Ovis aries: one gene and its partners. The protein of the gene in region 4 purifies or fractionates together with the protein of the main gene of each other region. This does not show direct contact. Links are inferred from orthologs where the notes say so. Each region holds a gene or a part of one and is shown on either strand. Other genes may lie near its edges.

What was found.
Region 1: the proteins of LCK (region 4) and UNC119 purify together in Homo sapiens (affinity purification with western blotting; 3 studies listed by BioGRID and IntAct, with this or other methods). This does not show direct contact. The link is inferred for Ovis aries from reciprocal best matches to the Homo sapiens genes LCK and UNC119.
Region 2: the proteins of LCK (region 4) and SH2D2A purify together in Homo sapiens (co-immunoprecipitation; 3 studies listed by IntAct, with this or other methods). This does not show direct contact. The link is inferred for Ovis aries from reciprocal best matches to the Homo sapiens genes LCK and SH2D2A.
Region 3: the proteins of LCK (region 4) and KHDRBS1 purify together in Homo sapiens (affinity purification with western blotting; 5 studies listed by BioGRID and IntAct, with this or other methods). This does not show direct contact. The link is inferred for Ovis aries from reciprocal best matches to the Homo sapiens genes LCK and KHDRBS1.

Annotation. Positions count from the first base shown.
Region 1 is NC_056064.1:19,957,486-19,962,490, forward strand, and holds the start of UNC119 (protein unc-119 homolog A), read right to left. Parts: upstream 3,152-5,005; 5' UTR 3,085-3,151; coding exon 2,865-3,084; intron 1-2,864. Other genes in the region: PIGS (GPI transamidase component PIG-S), read right to left, coding at 4,984-5,005. UniProt on the Homo sapiens protein: Involved in synaptic functions in photoreceptor cells, the signal transduction in immune cells as a Src family kinase activator, endosome recycling, the uptake of bacteria and endocytosis, protein trafficking in sensory neurons and as lipid-binding chaperone with specificity for a diverse subset of myristoylated proteins.
Region 2 is NC_056054.1:106,760,974-106,765,780, reverse strand, and holds the start of SH2D2A (SH2 domain-containing protein 2A), read left to right. Parts: upstream 1-1,627; 5' UTR 1,628-1,747; coding exon 1,748-1,781; intron 1,782-2,063; exon of another isoform or gene 2,064-2,310; intron 2,311-2,430; coding exon 2,431-2,585; intron 2,586-3,334; coding exon 3,335-3,516; intron 3,517-4,232; coding exon 4,233-4,322; intron 4,323-4,590; coding exon 4,591-4,759; intron 4,760-4,807. UniProt on the Homo sapiens protein: Could be a T-cell-specific adapter protein involved in the control of T-cell activation. May play a role in the CD4-p56-LCK-dependent signal transduction pathway. Could also play an important role in normal and pathological angiogenesis.
Region 3 is NC_056055.1:235,447,783-235,452,098, forward strand, and holds part of KHDRBS1 (KH domain-containing, RNA-binding, signal transduction-associated protein 1), read right to left. Parts: intron 3,925-4,316; coding exon 3,857-3,924; intron 3,069-3,856; coding exon 3,010-3,068; intron 522-3,009; coding exon 424-521; 3' UTR 329-423; exon of another isoform or gene 1-328. UniProt on the Homo sapiens protein: Recruited and tyrosine phosphorylated by several receptor systems, for example the T-cell, leptin and insulin receptors. Once phosphorylated, functions as an adapter protein in signal transduction cascades by binding to SH2 and SH3 domain-containing proteins.
Region 4 is NC_056055.1:235,285,489-235,290,271, forward strand, and holds the start of LCK (tyrosine-protein kinase Lck), read right to left. Parts: upstream 3,370-4,783; 5' UTR 3,256-3,369; intron 1-3,255. UniProt on the Homo sapiens protein: Non-receptor tyrosine-protein kinase that plays an essential role in the selection and maturation of developing T-cells in the thymus and in the function of mature T-cells. Plays a key role in T-cell antigen receptor (TCR)-linked signal transduction pathways.

The DNA of each region.
Region 1 (5,005 bases), on a different chromosome or scaffold from region 4:
TTATACAAACCCAGCTCCCTTAAGCAGCTTAGTCAAAGCTCTGCTGACTCAAGCCCAGAGCCTGGAATATTGGGGGGGAGCGGGGTGTGGAGAGGGAAAGGGAGCTACCTTTGCTCTCATCCCCCACTGATCTTCAAACAAGAGGAGGTCTTAGCAGAGGAGGTCTATGGAGGGAACCCCCCCTTAAAGGTAATCCATCCACCCTTGACTCTGAGCTACCCCCAGAGAGAAGAGGCAAGGCCAGTAAGAGGGTGTGGCAGGTATAGCAGGGCTGTGACTGGGGTAAGGGGAATCCTTGAGCCCAGAAGAGGAACCACGAACAGTGGTGGGCTCGGCTTGAGGAAGCTCAGAAATAGCAGGGCCTGATCCAACCCTCACCACTCTTGCAGCGGCAACTGCAAGCACTCAGGGAGGAGGCCCCAACAGCAAATAGGAAGAAACAGAGAGGTGCAGTGGGGGCTCTGGTGCCAGCACAGCATCACATCCTCCCTGCAGAGGCCCGGAAATCACCCGCTAGGCCCCTAGGCCACCACTGATTTCTCTGGGGCAGGAAGAGGAAGTGAATGTAAAGTCATTCTCTCTTCCCAAGCATGGGGCAGCCCCCTCCAGGAAGCCCTCCTGGTGGCCACCTGGCACTTGGGGTCCAGCAGGGACTACACAGGACTTATGGTGGGGCTGGAGCCCTGGCCTGCCCATCACAGCCCACGGTGGGGAGAGGAGGAATGGAAGTAGGCAGGTCCTGCCTCACCCTGGACACAACTTATTTTCACAGAAAGTAAACACTAATCCAAAGACGTAGGAGGAAAGTGCAGGGCAGAGGAGAGGAAGAGGCAGAACTCAGAACAGCACCCTAGTCGCCCAGCTCCTGGCTCCCCATAGGGTTCCACTCCTTCCCCCATTCCCTAACTTCCAGAGACTCTCCTCTCACTGGAGAACAACTGGCAGTGTGACCTCTGTCTCTTCTACTGCAAACTCAGCCTATCAATCCCTTTGTCCTTAGAGGAAGTGAGGAATGGAAGATGCCCATGGCTCAAGACACCACCTCCACTCCCTCCCCCAGCTGGAGAAGGATGATGCCTGGGACTTGGGGTCAGGCCCGATAAGGGGCAGAGTGGCTGAGGGCTCAGAATGCAACTGCTCCCTTCGCCTCAGCCACAAATAGCTTCCTAAGCTGGATTCAGGTCTGGGTAATCCAGGAAGAACAAACTCAGACCTGTGTGATTAGGGTCAGAGGAGACAGGCAGGGGTGCCAGTGGAAAGATTCCTGGAGCCCTGTTCTCAGCTTCCACAAAGAAGAGGGATCTGGTGAAGACTCTTCCTCTAATCGCCCACAGATGCTGAATCTCTAAGGGCTATGAATTTCCTCCAAATTCAGACACACAGTTGTATATGGGCTAGAAGTCCCTCTGGCTGCAAAATCACCTCGAAAGTTACCTAGGACTGGGACAAGTTAGACATCCTATAGGGAAGTTCTGCCCCAGAGCTAACCTGAATCCTAAATGCTACTGTTGCCAATTATAGCCCAACTGGCACCACCATCAGACTGGTCCAGGCACCTTCCCCCTATTACTGCCTGCTTGGGTAAGGCAGTTCAGTGCTCCGAGGGCCCAGCCAAGAATGACTGCTGCCTGGCTAAGAGAGGAGGGAGATGCTGGTCCCCTGGGGACCCAGATGCACAGGCCTAGACCTGCCATCACAGTCCCCTCCACAGCTGTTTGGAAGCCCTGGACTCTTCTGCTCCTGCAGCACCAGAGCTCAGGTCCAGTCCAGCAACTGCTCCCTACCCTCACAGGGGGACTCCAAAAGTTGCCCTCACAGAGGGAGCCAGGGCAGGGGTACTAACCAATGAGGCCAAGATAGAAGGCCACTGCCTCTCCAAGTGCCTTCTGTTCTTTCAGGCTCAGCCGCGGCCTCTGCCATGAGACTTCCCTCCCTTGTTCCCTGCCTACGGTGACCCCCTCCCCCGCCCTGAATGCCCATTTGTCTGCCTCCAGGCAGCAGCCATGAGCAGTCCTGTGGGGCCCTCAGTATTGACAAAAGAGCCCTATTTACACAGCATGCACGGCCTGCCAGGCACAGTGCAAAATCACAGGATTTATTTTCACAACAGCTCTCTAAAGTTAGGGGTCATTATTCCCATTTTACAGACGAATATGCTCAGAGAGGTGAAGTTATTAGCCCAAGGTCACACAGCCAATAGGACGGCAAAGCTGGAACTTCAGTTTGGCAATCCAGCTCAGAAACTCAACCACAGTGGTGGCTTGGCCTCCCAGAAGAGGACAGGCCCTAGTTCAGGCTAAAGGGGGTATTAACCCACTTCCTTGAGAAGCCCAGAGTCAAAGCACTGAAGCTTCCTCTTCAGGTCCTTTCCTGGAGAGAGTGATGGCCCCAGACTTCCTGGGGGTGTCCAGTGTGAAGGAGACCTAAGGGTTTTGATACCACACGTAGCCTCTAGGGTGGAGGAGACTGGGGACTGACTGCATTCAGCCCCCTCCTCATTATTGCAGAGAAGATCTTCAAAAAACTCTGAAGACTCTGTGGGGAGGGGGTCACAGTTGCAGCTGCTGCCCCACCTCCACCATGGGAAAGGGGGATGGACTCCTCAAAAAGGAAGGAAAGGGGTGGAAACGAATCTCTAAAGGGACAAGGCGAGCGCAGAGAGAGATCGAGGAAAGGGGGGACATGGAGATCTCAGGCTTGGAGGCAGAAGGGTAGAGGACACAAGAGAGGGGCACCCGGGTGGGGGAGGGGAGGCGGGGGAGGGCGGGAAAGGGGGCGGGGGCCCAGACTCTGCGCGCCCGGAGGGCCCCCTCTCGCGCTCTCTCACTCCCGCCCGCGGGTGATGCTGCCTCGCGGGTGCTCACCGCCGGTGATCCGCTGCAGCCCCAACACGTCCTCCGGCCCGATCGGCTGCTTCCTCTGCAGCGGCCCCGGCCTGGGCCCCGGGCCTGCCTCCGGCTCCGACTCGGACCCGGATTCGGATTCCGCCTGCAGCTCCGGCTTGGGCTCCACGTTCGGGCCCGAGGCCCCTGGAGCGTGCTCCGCTCCCGTCCCGGCCCCGCCGCCGCCCTTCTTCACCTTCATGGCCTCGCGGGGCCGCGGCTCGCCTGCTGCCGCCGCGGCTGCCTGCGCCGGCTGGAGCCGAGAGAAGGGGGAGCGTCCGCAGCCCCGCCCCCGGCCGGACCGGAGCCCCAGGTACCGCCCCGCCCCCGGGGTGGGCCCGGGGCTGACCCCGCCCACCGCCCGCCCACCTGGGCTACGGACCCGGGGCAGGGAGGGGGCCCGCCCGGGGACGTCGTTCATTTTTCCGGTAGGGGTTTTCAGGGTCCTGGCTACCTACCCCTTCTTATTCGCTGGCTTCCAGCCACTCCGCCCTTCCCTCTGCCCCTCGCACATGAGTTCGCGTCTCAGGGCCTGGGATGCTCTTCCCCCAGAGGTGGCCTCCTCTCGTTCTTCCGGTCTCAGCTCAAATGTCATCTGCTCAGAGGCCCTCTCAGACACCCCATCACTATCTGATCAGCCTGTTTTTTCTAATGCATCATCTGAAATTCGTTTCATTTGCTCACTGACCAGTCCTCCTACAAGACCAGTTCGGTGAAACTGGAGATCTCGTCTCTGTTCTCTAGAATACCCAGCACTTAGTCCAGTGCCCACTGCAGCTTGCACTCAACACAGTTGACCCTTGAACAACATGGGTTTGAAGTGAGTGGGTCCACCTATCTGGATTTTTTTTCAATAGAAAATACTACAATACTACACGATGGGAGGTTGGCTGAATATGTGGGTATGCAACTGCAGATAAACAAGGCCAAATATAAATTATTGTCTGAGTTTTGAATGCGCAGAGGGTAGGCATCTCACCCACTACGTTGTTCAAGGGCCAACTGTATATTCTTTTTTAGAATTTATGAATCAGTTAGTATCTGAGAGCTTACACTGCTACTCCTCTCCCAGACCCCCTGCTAGATAACCCAGGAAATTCTGAGGGACAACAGCCTACAATGTCTAGTCACCACAGGGCCCTCCAGGACAGGAAAGGTAGGAAGGGCACCTGGCTAGGTGGAAGTAAAACGGACCCAGTGAGCCGAGGAAGACAGACAGGAGGAAACCATGACTTACACACGAATGAAGAATGAAAGGTATGATCACACTTCATATCATTCCAGTTCATATTCAACCAATGTTTATTGAGAGCCTAGAATATGCCAGACACTTTCACAAGCTCATCACATTTAATCCTCACAACCACCCTGTAAGGGAGGTGTCATTAGTGCTATTTTAACAAAAGAAAAACTGAGGCTCAGAGAGGATTAAGTAGCTTATTCAAAGCTCCCCTGATATTAAGTGCAGAAGCAAGGGTTGAATTCAGACATGTTGGATCCCAAGTCCAGAACTCTCCCCACTGTACCACACTGCCTCTATAAAGGGATGAGGAAGGGAAGCTCTGCCACACACAGCATCAGGCTGCACCCACCAAGTGTAGCCACCCAGGAGGAAGGGAGAAGGCCCCAGAGATGACACGGGCCTGGCCCCTTCTAGAAGAGCAGTGCTAGGGCTCTCTCTGAGGGATCAGAGAGAAGCAGGAGGGAAGGGCCCTAGATCCCACCCAGGGCTTTTCCCTAATGCTCCCACTCAGTGCAAGAGGACTGTGAGGAACAGGGCAGAAAGATAAGCTGCCCCTGCTGCAGTGGGAGACAGTAAAAGACCTTCAAGTTCAAGGCAGGTAAGGAGACCCAGATTGGGTCTTTTGAGGTTTGGGAGTTGGAGTGGGGGGAGAAGATGAAGAGTGGGAGGGACCTGAGCCACAAGAATGGGGAGGACAGGAAAGAGCAAACCCTCTTGGAGTGTTACACTTTGATTGCTGGAGTGGCAACAGAGCAGGCTGGAGACAAATCATTTGTGGCAGGCCCCGTTATGTGCCTCTCAATCTAACACCTCCCTCCTGGCTGGAAAGGAAGGCTTCCTACTGTGATGCCATCCCACTCAGTCTGTCTTCTCAGGCTTT
Region 2 (4,807 bases), on a different chromosome or scaffold from region 4:
TATGGGTTGGCACTACGAGAGCCCACCTCAGAGGCTCCTAATCTAGCCATGTGTGTGCATGTGTGTGTGTATAGAGGGTCGGGACATCAGAAGAGGGGACTGAGCTGAGCTGTGGAGGATGAGCAGGGTTGAAGAAGTTGGGGAAAGGTATCTGTAGAAGAAGGACGAGCATGTTCAACTTCATGGAAGAAGGAAATGGGGTGGAGCAGCGGCTGTATGGTTGGAGCGGAAGCTGGCTCAGGGGCTGCCAGCTAGGGTTTACCTAGCTGGAGGGTGCCAGAGCCAGAGTGCATGCTGCCTTGCACCCGAGAAGGACTCTGGAGTCCTGATTTAGCCTGCAGAGCTACTTCCCTAGCGCCTCTGAGAAGTAAAGAAGACCCCCAGCATCACTGCTGGCCCAGTCACACCCACACTCCAAGGCCTTGCCTCCTCCTGAGCTGCCTGATCCCTCTTCCCTTCCTTTAAAACTGCTGCCTTAGGGAATTTCCTGGTGGCCCAGTGGCTGAGACTCTAAGCTCCCAGTGCAGGAGGCCCCGGTTCCATCCTGGTCAGTGAACTAGATCCCACGTGCCGCTACCAAATGTTTGCATGCCCCAACTCAAGATCCCACATGCCACAACAAAGGTAGACGATCCCACATGCTACAGCTGAGACCTGGTGCAGCCAAATAAATAAATATTAAAACAGAACAAAACAAAAAAACCTGTTGCCTTAGCCTTGATCCCATCCTCTTTCTCTCTGGACTCTCAGCACCAAGAACAGTGCCTGGCACGTAGTCACGGACTGTTGGCCTAAATCACAGTGAAGTTAGTCAAAGAAAGATCTAGTTTTTAGTCTCAGTTCTGCCATGAACACCGGAGACACTGAAAGACCCAAGCCAGGGCACGTAACTTCTCTGAGCTTCAGTTTACCCATCTGGAAAATGGGGATAGTGTTCCCCCATCTCCCCTTCATTAGTGAGGATCACAAGACAGAAATGGGACTGGTCCTCTAGGGTGGCAGGAGAGGCAAGGCCACTGCAGATTTAAGGCATCAGCCTGGACGTCATCAATAACAACTGCTGATAGGTTTGCTATTAATAATGACCTGCTTAATTGAAGGAAATCCCCTCTCCCTTTCTCCAGGATGGTTGGTTTTGTCCTAACCCAGTTCCATTACCTGCCTGAAGATGAAGCCAGGCTTCCTCCTCCATACCCCCTTGTCTCACAGGTTTCATAAGACCTCAGAAGGTCCTGCAAAAGTCTGACCCACATTCTTCCTATTGCAGCTCTGCCCCCTCCCCTCCTCATGTGTCCTAAGAGCAAAGTCCTGCATATGAGTCTTCGACGAGCCGGAAGCCCCATCACATTATAAGGCTTAGTCTTCTGAAGCTGATGTTCCCACTGCCACTGCTAACACAGAGAGAGAGAAGAGAGAGGGTGAGGAAGGGAAGCCCCAGTCTGGAGCGAGGGCGTGGAGAAAGAATCAGGAGGGATGGAGACAGGACAGCAGCACACCCAGACACACAGTGATACAAACGCCACACCACCACCACCACCTCCAGCGCCTGGCTTCCGGGGGAGGGACAACTGTCTTACGGCTTTCCATGACGCGCAGCCTCCGCGAGGGCTAGGGCTGTGGGTGAGGCGACATTTCCTGCCCCAGGGGGCTGGGGTGAGAGGAGAGATGAGTTGCTGAGTATGCACACCTTCTGAGAGCCCATACACACACACCCTGCTCCAGGGGCTCCTTTCTCAGGCTGCCCCCCATGGAGTTCCCTCTGGCCCAGATATGCCCCCAAGGTAAGTGTGAAGTTGGAGAATGTCGGTAGGAGGGAACCTCAAGACCCCCACGACCCCTGCTCTCCTCCCCTCTGGGCCTAAGCTCCCACCTCGGGGGTGAGGGGCCACACCCTGGCCACACTCCTTGCCACACTCTGGCAAGGCTGACGGGCAGGAGGCCCACAGCCCCTGCTCCTCCTCCTCGGGTGCCACGTCCACGCAGCCCTGAGGGTAAAGGGGACAGGGTCTGCTAAGAGCTTCTTCGACAGGAGAGAGGAGCAAGCACGAGGATGAAGTGGGGCGGGAGGCAGAGGACCCTGGGCCAGAAGAGGGGCCTGCACTGGAAGACATCTGCCTCCACTCCCGGATTCTGGAACTGCTGGGCCAGCTGGCTTCCCTGCGCTCCTCCCTGGGCCCACCTGCCCTGACAAGCCCCTCTGTCACCTCAGCCCTCTACGCCTCCTGGGCTCCTTACTCCTCCTCCCTGAGAAACAATCTCTGCCACCCCTCCTGCCTTTCTCCTGCTGTGATGACTGTGCCTGTCCTTCAGGTCCCCGATGCCTGGACTGCCGGGGTGGCGGGGAAGTGGAGGGCCTGAGCCTGAGCCTGGGAGTGGTGGGCGGCAGAGAGAGACGCAGGCCCTGACTGAGAAACCTCTCTGTGCTAACAGGGAGCCGAGAAGCCCCGGCCATGACTTTCAGCACCTTCCAGCCCCTGGACTTGACCCGCAGGGGCTGCCAGGGCCCCGGCTTGCTTCTGGGACCACGACTCCAGGCCCCCGAGGAAGCCTGGCCCAGCCCCAGGGGCCCAGCTGGCCAGGCTGTGGTGAGTGGAAACCTGCGGGGTGCCGCTCCCTCCTCTACTCCCCCCCTCCCCCGGGGGTGGGCTTGCAGGTGGACAGAGGCCAAAGCAGGAATGAGCAGGGGCTGCCGCCATGGCGGGGGGCCCAGAGGAAGGGCAAGGAGAGGAGGAGCACCTCCTCCAGTGGCTGAATGGCCCACTCGCTCCTCCTCTGTCCCCGGGAAGCTCAGGGTGAGTCCACAAGTGATGGGCACAGTGATTTAAGTTCCAGGAGTAGGCAGCTACAGCTAGGCCCGTGGCCTTCATTTGCCCATCCTCATCTCAGTCCTCCTCACCCAACCGGTCAGTAGGAAACCCTCCCCATCTGGTCGGTAGGAAACGAGAAGGGTGAGCCCTTCCTCGTTCTGGCCTCTGGGGCTCCCTTCATCCCTCAGGCCAGGGAATGCTTTCTGTCCATCTGGAAGGCCCCACTCCCATTTAAGCGCAGTTTAACAGCTCACTGCTACTGGCAAAAAGGCTCACAGGACCCAGAGGGAAGTGGAAGGAAATTCCCTGGAAACAAAAACAGCTTGAGCTAAACAAGTCAGACTTTGGGAAGGACTTTCTGGGAAAAGATACCCTAAAAGAGGCAACCGGAAAGGGGACAGGGAGCTTTCTCCACAAGTCGAAGAGCGAGTCGGTGTAGGGATAAGGAGGCGGCAGCTGACTTAGAGTCAGAAGAAGGGCTACTGATCATGGCCACCTCTCCCCTCCTTGACTCTTCTCTTATGCAGACACCTCTCCAGGCCCCAGGGGCTGCCTGCAGTCCAAAGGATGTTGGGAAGGAGGAGGACCAAAGGGAAGAAGCTCTGTTCCTACAGGCCGAGACTCGGGCTTGGTTCCAGAAGACCCAGGCCCATGAGCTCCTACAGCACGGGGCGGCCCCCATCTGGTTCCACGGTTTCATCACCCGGAGGTGAGTCACAGAGGAAGAAACAGGCTCAGAGCAGGGCAGGGGCCAGTCCTGGGTCCTGCCGTCAGTCAGGAGTAGATTGAGGCTACAAGCCAGGCTGTGACTGCTGGAGGCTCTGAGGCAACTTGCTAAGGCAGCTCTCCTGGGGGAGACCACGGAAGAGGCACCAGCCCAGAGCCCCTACCCCGCGCCTCCACTTTCCTCCTGTCTCTAAGGATCCTAGTGCTCATTCTCCTCCTCGGCCTCCGTCTCTCTCCCTCCATGTCTCCCTCCATCTTTACCCCGGGCTTTCTCCAGCCCTCTCCCCTCTCTTCCCTCCCTTGCAGTTCCTCCCTTCTCCTCCACTTCTCAGCTTCACTTCTCCTGCGTCTATCTCTGTGCTTACCTCTTCCATGCAACTTGTGACTTCTGAAGTCTAGAAATCTAATACCATCCCTGCTGCTGCCGCCGCAGCGCTGACCCCCTGAACCCCCCACTCCAGGCTGCCTTTCCAGGATGGGCCCAGGAGGAGGATGCAGGGCCAGGAGGTCTCCTGAGTGGAACGCCCAGTCCCTGCAGCGGGAGTGTGGTGACCACATCCTCTCTCTCCCGCCTCCACCCTTCTCTGTCCACTTAAGCAGGCTTGGTTGGGCGTAGGGGTCCCCTATGAAAGCCAGGGAGACAGGAGGTGAGGCCGGAAAAGTCTGAGCAGCCCCCTGTGTCTTCTCCATCATCCTCAGAGAGGCCGAGAGGCTGCTGGAGACTAAGCCTCAGGGATGCTACTTGGTGCGTTTCAGTGAGAGCGCCGTGACCTTTGTGCTGACTTACAGGTGAGGGGCCAGCACTGCGCGGGGGTGTGGGGTGGGGGACAACAAGAAGGCGGGACTTTGAGCTAATCAGGGGGCGGGACTTGGTGCTGAAGAACGTGTGAGGGGCAGATCTTCATGATGACCCCCAGCAGGGGCGGAAGGGTCTAAGCCCATCCCCCAGGCTGCTAAGCATGGGAAACCCGGGCATTCGGGCGGATAGAGATCACGCCTCGTGCCGATGTCCTGGCCAGAAAGAGGGAGCAGATATGATCCTGACTGGTGTCTCCAGGAGCCGGACTTGCTGCCGCCACTTCCTGCTGGCCCAGCTAGGGGACGGGCGCCACGTGGTGCTGGGCGAGGACAGCGCCCACGCGCGGCTGCAGGACCTACTGCGGCACTACACTGCCTGCCCGCTCAGCCCGTACGGGGAGACGCTCACTGAACCCCTCGCCCGCCAGGTACGCCATCCCCACCCCTGGCCCTGACACTGACCCTGACCCCGGGGA
Region 3 (4,316 bases), about 160 kb from region 4:
CTTTACGGGATGCCTCAAATCAAAACTAAGAGAAAGTTAACAAGCCTTAACTTCAGAACCTTTAAGCAAGCAATGTCACTTTTGAAACTAACAGGTTTGTGTTTTTTTTTTTTTACTCAACTTCTTTTTTATTATAAAAGGTACATTTCTGTTTATATTTAAACAACAAAGAAAAAAGCATCTACACACTTAAAAAATTAATTCGATATTCCTAAATCTATTTTAACTCATTTTAAAATACTACATACAGAAGCCAGAATGCAGAGTTAAGAATGGAGTAAGGTGGGGAGAAGAAGGGGACCACGAAGAAAAACACTTAGACAATTACTTGTCTGTTGTGGGTAAAGCAACAGGAATCCTGGGAGATACAAGAAATCAGTAACAACTTTGCTCATAACTGATATTTTCCCCTCATGTTTGTTTTTAATAACGTCCATATGGGTGCTCTCTGTATGCTCCCTTCACCGGCCTAGCTGGAGGGGCCTTCAGCGACGGCCTGGTCCCATTCCAGTCATCCTGGCCTGTGGGGAAAAGCAAGAACAGTTTATAAACCATGTGCCAATGGCATTTTGGAATGGACAGGTGTAGGTCACCTGGTAAAGATCACCAAACATGTTGCTTTGCTTCCAATGCCTTGCCACCTCCTCTGTGGTTCTTACTTTCTTACTCTGCTTCGCCCTCCCTCCCAAGCAGCTCAGGCAACTTCCCAGGTATAGGGCAGTTCTGAGTGGATGGCCAGAAGCAAACAGTTCAGAAAGGACTTGCGGTGATGTCCAAGAAAGAAGCTGTCCATAGGCAACATGCATGATCTATATTCCAGCCCCCAAACCTGGATAAACCCAACACCTTGCTTCAGACAGTGAGGAAATCAATCTCACTGGGGCTGCAATGCTCTTTCCTATTTTCAAAGCCGTTCAGGAGAGAGCCTCAAGTAAGGTGACAACTTCTGGAAGTCTTTCAGATTGAAAGCAACAGAGGCAGCTCCCTTTCCATGCAACAGCAAGTCAGATTTGCCTGTGAAGAAGTATCCTCTGGCTCCCTGGGAAGAGCAAGCAAGGGTCACATTTCAAGAACCCTCCACCAGCAGAGCTGGCCCACTGCTCTGGTGGTGGGAAGTACAATCAAATGTGTCAACAGCACTCATTAGGAGAATTCATTATCTCATTTTGGTGCCAATAGTCCAGAGAAGCTAGACAACGTGACTGCTATCCTCAAATGGTTTTCCTCTGTGTCAGGGAAAAGCCTATAGCAAAAACAATCATGTACTTTTAGAGTTGATCTCTCATGAACGGGAGTTGTGTTTATAAGTTTATTCTTTCCACTCACCCCCAGACTTTACCCAGGCTTGCTATTTCTCTAGGGCTTCCCTGGTGGCTCAGAGGTTAAAGCGTCTGCCCGCAATGCGGGAGACCCGGGTTCGATCCCTGGATCGGGAAGATCCCCTGGAGAAGGAAATGGCAACCCACTCCAGTATTCTTGCCTGGAGAATCCCATGGACGGAGGAGCCTGGTAGGCTACAGTCCACGGGGTGGCAAAAAGTCAGACACGACTGAGCGACTTCACTTGACTTCACTTTGCATTCACAAACATCTGTTTCCATCATTCTAGGTCTAAAACCCCTACATGGATGTAAAGTTGCTATCTAAGCCTGTTTATACCTCTAGTACAATAGACATGTCTATCACTTTCTAAGTGACTTCTTACTGTACCAATAAGGCAGTATATTTTTCTAACTCTGTTTATAAAGGCAGAAATCAGAACAGATTAACCATGGCAGCATCATACCAGGAGCACAAGGAGCAGCCTGCCTGTTGCAATGCAGCTTTTTTTCTAGCAAAACAGAAATGTAATTTAGTCAAACACTTACAGCGGTCCCATTGTACTGCTCACCGATGATGGGAAATACCCTGGGGCAATCATACCACCCTTCTAAACAGTGGCATATGAGCAGAGCAGTGCAGTGTTACAGATGGCAACTGTCCAGGACCATTTAGCTAGAGCTGGTAAAAACTGTTCCCCTGGACAAGCAGCTGACTGGCTGCAAAATACTACGCTGAGGAGGTGAGGAGTCTACCTGTGGGAACCCTAAGAGGCTCTTTCCTCTTTTCAGTTAGGTGTAAGGGAGACTGTCAACTACTACCTTAAGTTGTCAACTGCTGAGTCCCTTGCCAAGGTCTCTGGACTTCCCACAGGTATGCTGGAAACACCTCATATTTAAAAGGCTGCTCTCTCTGCATCTACCGCCACATGGCACTCCCTCTGGGGCCAATTATCACAGGGCCGTATCTGGCTCTTGAGGATACCGCTTGAGCAATGTGTTTTCAACCAGGCCTCAGGAAAGGCAGTTTGGTCCTGCTGCCATTCCAGCATCTATAGCTCTCTTGGGATTAAGGACTAAGTTGAGATGTCTCCAAGACAGTCAGGAAGTTGAACCGTCTTGAACCGGCTCCAGTCCCCAGTTTCTAATCTAACAGGCACCCTTCTTGCCCTCAAACTGCTCTTGTCATTGGGTCTCTTTCAGCTAGCATATCCCCTACACTGAGATTCTTTACAATGAGATCCAAAATTGTTTTTAAAAATGAGGTGGGTCAGAAAAGTTGGATATGATTCCATTCTTATTATCCATCAATGTGGCCTAGGTATCTTGCAGCAAAGGCTCAGCAACATAACCCAGGTCTAGCCATCTCCCAGCCTAAAGCAGAAACAAAGTCAGTGTCAGCCAAAAAGCCTGCTGCTCCAAGCAGTCAACCTGGACCTTAGCCCTAGTTTAGGACATCTGCTTAGCCATCCAAGAGTACACCTAACTCATTTCAACAGTCTTTCTTTCTACTACACACCACACGATCTAAATAAGAGCAGGATTTCTAGTGTCACGTCTATCAACATGTTGATCTTTTTATGAGGTTTCTCCTTAGGTGTATGACTGCCTGACCCCCAATAATCCCATCACCAGCATTCTCCTGGGCACTTACTTGCACATTTTGTCCCACCACAGAAATAAAGACATACCATATGCTTCATAAGAATCTTGAACCTCCCCATGTCCATAGTCATAATATTCTGAGTCCCTGAAAGCCAAAGACAGAGTATTAGAGCTATACAGCAACCATGTTTCAGTTTTACCTTTCTCCCAAATGCTTCCATATTTTAGTCATTTTACTGAGGGTGCAAAACAAACAAAAGTTCATTCTACCCCCATCTCCAAACGTAAAATATTTCCAAAACATGTACATACTGGATACTCATTTAAAAATTATGACAACTACAGCAAAGAAAAATGAATAGCACACAATTTAAAGTGAAAAAGCTCAACCAAAAAGCTCAGTGTTAACCAGTGTACACACACACACTCACAGGGCTCACTGGAAGAGAATAAGCAAATATGAAAAGAACTGTCTTGTCCCCACTGCAGAATTATGAGAGGCCTTTCCCATCACAGTTTAGACACATATATACACATACACAAAAACGTGTTTTTTAAAAAAAGAGCAGAAAAAATCTGAGTTAAGTAATGGGAATCTAGTACCCTTTTAAACTTCTATGCAACTTTAATGTAGTTGTGACATTTTAAAATAACTAATCAAAACAATTTTAAGGCATTTTCCCTTTGTTCCCATGTAGTCACAGCTAAGGAATTTTTCATATGCTAATCCCAGATTCAGCATTATAATTTAAGATTCACAGTTTTCCAAATCTGCAGATCCAGGTGTGTGCCTTACAGATGTCACAAGCAGAGGCAACACTCTGAAAAGGTGATCCATCTGCTCCTTAGATTTGTTCTGCCTAAATCTCCCAGTTCTTCCAACTCCCTCTATATCCCAAGGACATGAAACAGCAATTCCACTGCCTGACTCACCCTTGGCTCTGGCTGTAATAGCCTTCATAGCCTTCATAACTCTGTTCTGCGTATGTATCATCATATCCCTACAAACGAAATGAAACAGAAAAAGTCAAAATCACACAAAGTAGCTAAGGCAATATGGAGGGCTTATGAATGAACAGAACATGGAATTTCCCTCTAAAGTATTAACATCTGTTGTGGAATAGTCAAGAGAGAAAGGTTTAGAAAACGATCAATCAAATTAAAAAAACCCTTTCAGCTTGGGCAGGAAATAAGGTTCAAGGTTGAACTTTATCAGCATTATCAGTAGTAGTAGGAGGAGTCCCCTTATTAAAACACTACACATCAAGGCACAGCTTATTTCCTGTTTCATCTACATATGTATATAGTAAATTATACTTAAAATGGAAAAATCTTCTCTCATAGTTTAACAATCACTGCAACAGAAGAAGGCAGATTCTAAACCTTACAGGCA
Region 4 (4,783 bases):
ATTTATTTTATTTAATGGCACAGGGTCTTCGTTGCAGCATGCAGGATCTTTAGTTGTGGCATGTGGGATCTAGTTCCCTGACCAGGGATTGAACCTGGGCCCCATGCACTGGGAGCATATAGCCTTAGCCGCTGGACCACCAGGGAAGTCCCTACTGTTTAAATTTTTAGAAGCAGCCATGTGCTAATTTTATAATTGAAAAACAGAAACAACCAAGTCCCCACCAACGCAAAAACTCTGGTAAGAGACATAGTCCTTTGAGAAGAATCAACCTTACAGCTGTCCTTCCACTGCTCCCCTTGTCTCCAGAGGTTCAGGCAAGGAACTAGGGATACGAGAAAAAAGGTTCTGCAACCACCGAAGTCTGAGACATACCGGGTTAGACAAAAGCAAACAGCCGCCTTCTCTGGGGAGACTTTCAGAGTTTCCACAAGCCAACACTGATGGTAAATTTCACATGGACACTTCATAGCTGAGGCAGTGTTGATTTGGACCCAGAAGTGTTTCCTTTCGGGGCGCCTCGTGGGACTAACATTCTTTAGACCAAGTGTTGGAAATCTAGCTCAGATACCTTCCAACGAACACCCAGATGGAGGCCCCACTTGCCTCCATCCCACCCACAAACTCAGCTCCCCTCAGCATTGCTTTCACTGAATTGGGCTTGGCCTTGAAGCCATCAGTCTGTGGGTGTGTGCATGGATTTATAGGATCCCACTGTGGTGTTGGAGAAGACTCTTGAGAGTCCCTTGGACTGTAAGGAGATCCAACCAGTCCATTCTAAAGGAAATTAGTCTTGAGTGTTCATTGGAAGGACTGATGTTGAAGCTGAAACTCCAATACTTTGGCCACCTGATGCGAAGAACTGAGTCATTGGAAAAGACCCTGATGCTGGGAATGATTGAAGGTGGGAGGAGAAGGTGGTGACAGAGGATGAAATGGTTGGATGGCATCACCAGCTCAATGGACATGAGTTTGAGCAAGCTCCTGGAGTTAGTGATGGACAGGGAGGCCTGGTGTGTTGCAGTCCATGGGGTTGCTGAGTTGTATACAACTGAGTGACTGAACTGAACTGAACTGAGCTGATGTGTGATATATATGTGGTCCCTGCCTCTGCCTCTGAACATCCATGCACACCTACATTTTCCAGTGATGATATGAATGGTATTTGGGCTAGGAAGGGAAGGATCATGTGTGTGTGTGTGTGTGTGTGTGTGTGTGTGTGTGTGTGTGTGTGTGTGCGTATCTATGTGTCTGTAGGAAGGTATGTGTGGGACCCTCCTCCAAGATAGACCCTGTGGCCCAGCCTAAAATTCTCACACCCACTAGAACACACAGGAAACAAGCTCATTTGCAAAGCTACACCACAAGTGTGAAGGAATGGGCTGCCCACTGGCCTGCCAAGGTGCTGAGTAGGAGTAATTCCGGGTACGGACAGCACCCCCCAACACCCCCACCGCACACACACCCTTGGGTGCACCATTTGCAGGAGAAGTGGTTGCCTAACCTCTGTTAAGCACCTTCGGCATGCCAGTTACTACCCACAGCACATCACAGCCATTTTCTCTTTGATTTCCCACCAGCACTCTGTAAGGAGGGATTTATTATTGCCTCTTTACCAATAAAGCAACTGGAGTTTGAAGAGGTGAAGTCATTTGTTCAAGGAAATGGCAGAACCAGAATTGTGCCTGGGTCAGCCTGACTGTGAAATACATGTCCTTTGCGCTACACCAAACCCTCTGGCTCTCTTGTGTTTGGTCTTGCCCTGAGGTTTCTGCCCTCCTAGGATCCAAGGAACAACCCAGAGACAGTGACCCTAGCTGCATATCCTAGGTACTCTGCAAAATGGGCCTTTGTTCTCATAGCCGCCTGACTCTTCCAGGAAGCCTTCCGATCACCCAAGCGAGGCCTCCTCTCGACTTCTGGAGCTTCCGCTCATTCTCTTGCTCCATCACTTGGCCCTTTTTCCCTTTGAGAAGCGCCTCTGTCCCAGAGCTTTGAGGGCGAGGGACCCTGAATCATCCTTCAGCACAGGCTAGGGTGGGGGACGGCTGATGCCAGTCCAGGGTCTGGATGAGTCTAGGGAAGACCCAGCTTGTTTTCCAGACCCCACAAGAGGTTGCAGGCCTTGGAGCTGGGGATGAAAGAAAGACTGCGACATGGCTGAGACAGTGGAAACTGTTTCAAGAAAAACTCCAGTGGCGGTGGGGGAGGCAGGGGAAACCTGGAAAGTGTGGCTCAGGTAGGGATTTACCCCCATAAACTACAGGCTGAGAGCTAAAATTGAGGGGATGGACAAGGAGCTGATTCTGCCTCCCTGGGCCTCCACCTTCCTGGGGTCTGAAGCAGGAACCAGCAGGACCCACTGGCCCTAATCAGGCAGTGGCAGGGGCAGGGGTAGGGGGCAGGAAGGAGCAAAGGGAAGAGGAAAGGACATCCTGGCAGGGGCAGGCGTGGCAATTTTCCAGATGGAAATCCAGATGGTCCTTGCCCAGGGCCAACAGCACCCTTGTCCAGGATAAAAATAGCCCTTCCTCTTCCCTTCTCCCATCCTCCTCTCACCCCCCAACATCCCGGAGTCCTGTCAGATACTTCCGCCCCAGTCCTCATCCCAGATGATAAATATTCCCTTGCATGCCCATCCATTCCCAAAGGAAGACCCCCTCCTTCTCTCAAGCAGTGTGGGTCGAGGCTAAAGTCACTCCTCACGTGTCTGTCCGGATGCTCTGGGTGATTCCCCTCGCTCTCTCAAGAGAGTCTTGTCACTGGGGTCTACACCAGCAAGTGGAAGGACTCTTGGGACCCTTGACTCAAGCCTGTCTATCACCTTGCTCCAGTGGGGAATCACATCCTAGGCCATCACCTCTCCCAGGGCCATCACCCTCTCTGCCTCTGCGTTGCTGACGGACTATGGGGAGGGAGCATTTTGCCCAGTCTGGGGCTTAGGAGGCTTATCCATCATGGGATGAGGGGCTGGATGCAGGGATTTCTGAAGGCCTTTTCAGTACTTAAGAGATCCCCAAGGAAAAGGCTCCCAGTGAGGTGGGCTCTGATGGCAGGCAGTGTGGTGGAGGCACAGCTACACAGGAAAGAGGCGATCTGGCTGTTCAGCCTGCCTCCCACCTGACCTCCAGGTGTTTCTGACCCCAGCCTGATAGGCTGCGCATCCCAGGGGAGCCTGACCCTAGGCCCAGCTGCAGCCTTCTGCTCGAAGGTCCCACTCCCAGCCCTTAGGCCCCTGTTCCGGGTACTCCTTACCTGCCCAGCCCAGGAGCCCCCTGGCCCCATTCACATGGTCTTCCTGGCCCAGCCCGGCTGCCCAGACACAGCTTCGGCTCCCCTCACCGTCGTAGCCACTGGCTGTCTCCCCGCGCCCACGTCCCACCCTGACTTCCTGCCTCCTCCTGAGGGCTCCGCAGCCAACCGGGCCCCAGCAGCCCAACCGCAAGCCTCCAGCACCCCAAGCTTCCTGCTGCCATCGCCCCCTGCCTCTCAGCCCTCTAGGGTCCTTTCACCCCAGTCCAGGCCCCATTCACCCCGAAGGTGGCACCCGGAGGTAGAGGAGAATATTGGATGGAACTTCCTCCGCCCCCCCCCCCAGGGAGCACCTGGACCAGAGATTCAAGGGCCGCCTTGAAGCCCCAGTGAGCAGGAGGCAAGGAGACACCCACTCAGCTTTCAGTGAAGGGCAAGCTGCACGGCTATCAGTCTGAGAGCCAGGTGATCCTTGCACTACAGTCAGAGGGCAAAAGTAACATCCCCTCAGAGTCAGGGGGAACAACATCCCTGTAAAATCACTGGAGGGCAGATACGATGATAGATAGATACCAGGCGCACACAGCTGCTAGCCACACAATGGAACCACAGCCATGCCATCTCAGGGCATGGGGAAGAGCTTTATTATTTGCAGAGGGGAGGCTAAGACCCCTCCTACAGACAGTCTGCTGGACAACAGGCTGTTCAAGGAAGCAGACAGGACAACCCGGTGTCTTTAAGGGAGCAGCCTCTTTTGTGGGCAGAGGGCAGGACAACACCCCCTAATTATGGTTGGAGAGTAGGGCAACCCTTCTAACCCAGGTAGAGACAAGGCCACAGCCTCTGTCAGAGGCGAAGGCCTGACACCACCTCCTGCAACAGGTGGGAGACAGAACAAACACTCCTGCCCAGGCCCCCCGGTGCAGGCAACAGACTGGCAGCACTTTCTGCTACAGGCAGGAGGAAGGGACCCTGTCACAAGCACGAAGCAGGCCAACAATCTCCCTTTCCCCAGGAGCCAGGCTGAGGGTGGCGTACGTCAGAGGCTGAGGGCCAGGTCACCAGTGTTACGAGGAACTCTAGGTGGCCTCTCTCGGGCCCAAGAGCTGGGCCTTGGCCGCACCCATCGGAAGACAGAAGCCTGTTGCCACCGCCTGAGGCTGCACTGAGGTAGCAGGCTGGGGGAGGGGAAGCCCACAGAGCATTGTTGGGGTTTGTGAGGTGGAAGCCGATGCTGTATGCACCTTCAGCTGCTGCGGAGAGAAGGGGGAGACAGGAAATGGGTGGGGGGAAGAGGAAGCCTGAGTTGGAAAGTCAGACAAAGAGGGTGACACAGAAACAAAAGCTGAGAAACACGAAGTTTTTTTTGAAAAAAAAAAAAAAACTAAAAAACAGGCCTACAGAATGACACAGAGCCCCGGCTGCAGGCCCCACCCCCTTGCTATGAACCTGAGCACTTCACAGTTCATCTCTGGGCCCCAGAACCACAGTAAGAACACAACTGGGGCTAATGATAATAATGCACTTTTTA